2 linked regions of the Mus musculus genome follow. The protein of the gene in region 1 interacts with the protein of each later gene in a pairwise test. Links are inferred from orthologs where the notes say so. Each region holds a gene or a part of one and is shown on either strand. Other genes may lie near its edges.

Region 1 (3,754 bases):
TTCTTATGGGTTTCCCATTTCTTGTTTGGCTCCTATCTTGGTGTGCACATTCTTCCATGCCTGTTCCCATCATACATTTCACGATCTACCATTTTGGATGTAGCTCTGCCAAAATCTTTACACTGCTCTGGATTGTTTTTAAGAAGGCTTTTTATGTGACCTCAAATGCCTTCCAGTCTTCTCTCAGCTCATCCTTGAAGAGACATCTCACAGCCATGTTTCCTGTAATGCCTTCAAATTGACCACGAAAAAAGCAAAAGATGGTTCTGCTTGCTTGCTTGCTTTTTTTTTTATTCTTATTTTTATTTAATTTAATTTTTTTTTTTTTTTGAGACAGGGTTTCTCTGTGTAGCCCTGGCTATCCTGGAACTCGCTTTGTAGACCAGGCTGGCCTCAAACTCAGAAATTTGCCTGCCTCTTTTCGTGTCTGTTGTAATTCTACCCTGCTACATCTCCTAAAAGGCTCCTCAAAGACTCAGCTTTGTATGTAGTTGTGTCAAATTAGGTCGCTGCCCCTTAGCACTCCCTGCCTGTGTGTGTTTTGCTGGTTTTACCTACCGTATTGAGTGGGAGAGAGGGGGAGGAGAGAAAGAGGAAAGCCGTTTTTGTTTGTTGTTTGTTTTTCACTTCACCTCAGGCCTGGTGAAAAGATAAGTTACTGATTTTTTGGTTATTTTATGTCACTTGTCAGGGGCACCTTCTTTCCATGCCCCAAGGAAAATACAGTAGAATTTTCCCCAAATGGGTCCCAATATTAGTATCCCCAGGGAACTGACCTCAGTAACCAAAGGAACTGAGTCTCAAAACGGTAGAGTAGGTCAAGGCTGTCTTAGTCTCCGTCCTTGAGAGGGCGCTGCTCCCAAGTCAAATCCCCAGGGCTGGGAAAGAAATGCCTGCGCTTTCCCACAGGACTCTGGCAGCAGCTTTTTGCAGATAGAGTCCGCGCGGCCGCAGAGCGCCTGCCCATAGACATGGCGGCGCCCTCCTTGGCTTCGCGTCGCCCTGACCGTGGAGCTGGCCGGGTTTTGCCAGTTCTCGGGGACTTCCTGCACGTCTGGCATTTAAACGCGCGCCGGGGGCGGCGGGATGCTGCTGCGGATGCGGAGCTGTGTGAGCCGCTGCCTACCCGGCGCAGCCTGGGCTCCGCAGTAGCGGAGCTCGAGCATCCTTTAGTCATCTATCTGGGGAGACCTGGAACTCAGGCTTCGGCTTCCCGGCAGGTTTGTCTTTAATTTCCAAGGTTGCAGTTCTCTTGACACAATCCACAGCATCCTTCTCTCCAACCGGGCTGTGGATGAACCTGGGACTGGACTGAATCCAGCAGCTGGGGCAGCCCGGGCCATGGTGCGTCTGAGCCCCGAGCTCTGGTAAGGCAGTAGTGGCGGCGTTGTTCGAGCTAGGCGGGTGCCACTCCCGGGAGCTTCCTCCCAGCTGTCACAATGTTCAGTTGGCTGGGTAACGATGATCGCCGCAAGAAGGACCCTGAGGTCTTCCAGACGGTGAGCGATGGACTCAAAAAACTCTACAAGACCAAGCTGCTGCCTCTGGAAGAGTATTACCGCTTCCACGAGTTCCACTCGCCCGCCCTGGAAGATGCTGATTTCGACAACAAGCCCATGGTCCTGTTGGTGGGCCAGTACTCTACCGGCAAGACCACCTTCATCAGGTGAGCCTCATCTGGGTGCTGAGCCTTCCGGGTGACGTGGAAAGTCTTCCATTAAGGGCTCTGAAGAAATCCCTGTGGGAGGCCTCAAAAGTTGATCCTACTACCGAGTCCCCCATTGATTCCTATATGATGTCCCTCCTCAGTTCTTAGCCCTGGTCATTTTATTAAGAGTCATCCCTGTTGTCTGATCTGGGCACTGAAACTGAGGCACAGAAGGAACCAGACTCCTAATGAAGGTGGGGATACCGTAACCCTCCTTTTGACTAGAATCTCTTATCTCGTGAAGGGCTTGGGATTATCCCGGGGAGCCTTACCTTTGCAGCCGAGTTGTTCTCATGGTCGCGGGCCTGGGGATGGGGGTGAACTGGAGACCCTGGGGTCATTTATTCTTTTACCGTTTTTCCTTCTCTCTGACAGTGCTTTTAGGGCTGTCTCTTAGAGAAGCAGAATACTTTTAATAAGTTTCTTCTTTGAACTTAATAGTTCAATAATAATAATAATAATAATAATAATAATAATAATAATAATAATAATAAAGCAGCTTACAGAAGTAGAGGAGATACTAAGATGCCTCATCTGGCCCTTGACTTTGCAGGTGAGATAGCAGAGGTGATGGGAGGATACGTGATGGTTTAGAGCTGCACAAGATGGAAGCAGCCCTCGGTGCCTGTGAAAAATGTTAGCTACGTGCCTGTAACTTTAACAGGGAGTCTTCCATTCCGTTGAATGATAGATTTTGGGGGCTGCAAGCATTCAGAGAGAAAGTCAGAAAAATCCAATAGCTCTGAAGAACAGGCCTCTCTCAATCTTTACTGCATACAGACTGCAAAGCCAGGCTGCCCTTTTCAAAGGTTGAGGGGTACACATATTCCAAAGGTTGGAGGCTGCTTATGGCCCTTTGGGCTAAGAGGTCACACTCTTACAGGTGCCGTATCCTCCCAGAGTCAAGGGCACCCATCTGCAGAGGGCTTTAAAGCAGCAGTCCTCATATTTCTGGATTGGCATCATGATCTACAGAGCCACGTGCTTTGCTTGTCAAGGAGAGCAGCAGAGTTGACAACCTGGTGACTCATTTTTCAGTTTCTCGTGTCTCCCGCGCTAAGCTTCTGGGAGCCGTGTGTGTACCATGCTAACCTGTCCTGTCTGAGCAGAGCACCAAATCATTTGTCTTTGTGGAGTGGACAGTCTTGGGCTGTCAACTTGACCTGCAGCTTTGCAAGGTCAAATGATTTCTGAAGTGGGGACCTGGGGGTTGTGGCTTATTAACTCTAATATATTTTAAACATGAGACATAAATCCATTGTGGGTTTTTTTTTCACCTTGTTTTTAAAAATCTAAATCACTTTTCTTTTAAAAAAAAAAAAAAGAAAGCTGTAGCACTCTCTTTAGAAAACTCCACGGATACCCTATGTTTACCTGTAGTGTTGAATGGATTTAACTGGGAACACAGAGGGAGAATCTTGGATTCAAAGTCAACCCTTAATTTTATTAAACACCAATTGGTGCCAAATGTGCTTCAGAGATACCTGGGTTGTGCACACAAGTTCCTTTGTATCGCTGTTCTCCACCCTTTTGGGTTTATGCCTCATGGGAAGTGTGGGCAATCTGCAAACTGTTCTTGGCTTCGCACCGCCTTCCCTGGCCCTCTGATCATCCTTGGTCATGACCCTGAGGACATTAAGCTACTGGACCATCTCCTTCCCGCAGTAAAGGCACTTTGGTAGCTTCTGGACCTGAGCATGTCCAGGGACTAAGCTCTGGGGAGTTCCCAGCAGCCATCTTGCAAAATGGGAGGGAAGAAAAGCAAATGTGTTTTAAGAGCAGGGTCCCCCGAACACTAGAAAGTTTAAGTGCCTCTGTGTGGGATACCCTCTGGATTTTGCCTAAGTCACCACAGGCTGTTACTAGATCCAAGAAAGTGGAAGAGTGAGATGCCCCACATTATCCCTTATCTGAGGGAGGCAGATCCCTCTTCCTTCTTATCCTCCTAGTTCAAGGGGCCCCCTTCCTCCTCATAACAATAACTGAATTTAGCTCGTGCACCCAAAGCCGTTTCCCCTCTAGAGAGAGGGCAAGAGTGGAGCGAGT
Region 2 (2,363 bases), on another chromosome or scaffold:
GGGAAATGGAGGACATTGATCGCAGGAGGAGCAAGGAGCTGAGGAAAGCCCTCGCCACCACTTAACCCAAGACAAGGGCGGGCTCACCCAGTGAGACTGCCAACCCGGCACAACAGCCAGAACCAGTGCCCTTCACTCTGCCACACAGCACCCATCCCAGGCCTGCCCACCCATGGGGGCTGGGCCACGCCAGATCATGACATGGCTTTGTCCTGTGGCATGAAACAGTGTCCTAGTCACTGCCTGGGGATGCAGAAGCCGCAGAGTAGTGTCATAGCTACTGTGTTTCTTTCTCTAGGGAAAAGCCCCAGGCACACCATGGCGATGCCCAGGCTCACCCACCTTGGACATGTGCCTAAGGGCACCCTCTCTGTGGCTCTCCTGATGTCACAGCTGGCCTCAGGTGCTCTGTTTTGCCTTTCTGAACCAAAAATTAAACATGACTCTTTCCTCCCTTAGATCTTTCCCTTAGGATCTAAGTCTTTGCCTTCTTGTAGCCTTGGGCAAATGTTTAACCACAACAATTAACTGGCCAATAAAACACATTTCACTTGCCCCTGACATGTGCCACCTTGTTTCCCCAGGGATAACACTTATGTGTTCGGAATCAGAACTTGTCCAGCACAGATGAGAATCTAACTTGGACCCCACCTGGTACCCCACCTGGTACACTGCACATCAGTGTCCTTTCTTTGGGCTGTTGACACTAAGCAGCCTGACCTTCACCAATATTTTCATTTCCCTGTCCCCATAAATATTTCCTGCACCTGCTGGAAGTTTCCCATAACTCTATTAGAACATATGACCTGTGTTCTTGTCCTAATAGAATAAACATGACTACTCTGCAGCAGCCAGCAGATAAGGGTTCAATCAGTCGGGGCAAGCCCTCTAATGTGCAGGCCTAGCACAATGGAAAACCCAGGACAAGTGTAGCCCACTGTGACAAACTCAACTTTGATGTCAGCATTTACAACTTGTGCCTGTAGGAGAACTGGATTCTGGATGTCTTCTGATGGGCCCATGTTGACAGGACACAGGTGACTATGAGAAAGGTTGTCCTGTTCACTGAGATACAAACTTTCCTTGACACAGAGACAGCCTGGTAGAGCCCTCTCCTGGGTTACAGCAACTGGGTCATAGGGCTCCTCTGAAAGACCTCTGAGGTGGTGGCCCTGGTTCCAGGACAGCAAGTGAATCTGGAGAGACTACCAAGGGGCACTGGCAACTGAGATACAGTGAGTTCCTTCCCAGGATGCACAAAGGGAGGGACTCTGAAGTCCCCGAGTGTAAGAACAGTGCTTAGACCATAAGCTGCCTGGCACAGTCCCCAGTGACAGACTGCCCAGACCACAAAAAGGAATGGGCCCATCATCCCCGGACGTGGGGAAGACAGAAAGCCTGACTGAGAGAACACCCACCCAAAGCATCCCTTCCAGGCTGACCTGAGTCAGTGCCCCAGCTCAGCCAGCAGCTCCCTGTGTGGTAATCCTGGGTTCCCACAGAGCAAAGGAGATGAGGGAGAGGAAACGGAACTGTCTTCAGCCCATTCCCTTCTGACACAGCACAGAGCGCTCTGAGGGGCTGGACTTGCAACCCTCATAAATACAGCTCCTGAGTGAGGTGACATGAGTTTCAAGGACATATGCGCTAGACAGGAAGGCAGGGACTAGGGGTCAGAGCTGGGAAGGCAGAAGCTAGGCAGCCAACCTTGCTGCTGGCCTGCTGCAAAGTACTCGAGCCCTTAACCAGGGCCTGCTGTGAGAAGGACTGTGGTGAGGACCCCATCTGACCTGGTTCAGGGAGAACAAGGAGAGCCACGGCCTCTGCCTGGAGCCTGCATCCCTGCTTGCTCCAGGCTGGCCACAGCATCTGGGGACAGAATCCAAGTGGGCAGGGCTAAGTCACAACTGGTTGGGACACAGGGAAGAAGGAAAAATCTTTAGCCCAGACCAGCTGGAGACCATGGAGGAGGGGAAAAGTCACCCAGAGACTCCCTCCCACGGTCATCGTCCCCCTTGGCAGGTCCCCCGGCAGCAGAGTGCTGCTGTGGCCTCAAGGCTCCAGGAGAGGAAAGGAAGGTGGCTTCCTTCGCTGTCAGCTCTTGTCCCCTGGGGCCTTGCTCTTGGCTTCTCGTTTATTCCCCAGAAACTTCAGCACCTTTATGGTCTTGAACTTGCCTTTCTTCTTACTGTCAGACTCGGCCTCTCTTTGGAAATCTGCAGCAAAGAACAAAGACACTCAGCCAGGGAGGGAGGGAGCACCTGGGTAGGATGGGGCAGTGGTCAGGGTCACTGATCAGGTGCGCAACCATCAAGGGCTCCAGTCGATCCGTGCACGGAGTCAGGTCACTCACTATACCCAGT

Evidence for each region.
Region 2: the proteins of Ehd3 (region 1) and Micall1 interact in binary tests that used the Homo sapiens proteins (3 or more experiments, as listed by UniProt). The link is inferred for Mus musculus from reciprocal best matches to the Homo sapiens genes EHD3 and MICALL1.

What each region holds. Positions count from the first base shown.
Region 1 is NC_000083.6:73,803,804-73,807,557, forward strand, and holds the start of Ehd3 (EH domain-containing protein 3), read left to right. Parts: upstream 1-1,037; 5' UTR 1,038-1,439; coding exon 1,440-1,666; intron 1,667-3,754. UniProt on the Homo sapiens protein: ATP- and membrane-binding protein that controls membrane reorganization/tubulation upon ATP hydrolysis. In vitro causes tubulation of endocytic membranes. Binding to phosphatidic acid induces its membrane tubulation activity.
Region 2 is NC_000081.6:79,132,853-79,135,215, reverse strand, and holds part of Micall1 (MICAL-like protein 1), read right to left. Parts: intron 2,217-2,363; coding exon 2,095-2,216; 3' UTR 66-2,094; coding exon of another isoform or gene 1-65. Other genes in the region: 1700088E04Rik (UPF0193 protein EVG1 homolog), read left to right, coding at 1-65. UniProt on the Homo sapiens protein: Lipid-binding protein with higher affinity for phosphatidic acid, a lipid enriched in recycling endosome membranes. On endosome membranes, acts as a downstream effector of Rab proteins recruiting cytosolic proteins to regulate membrane tubulation.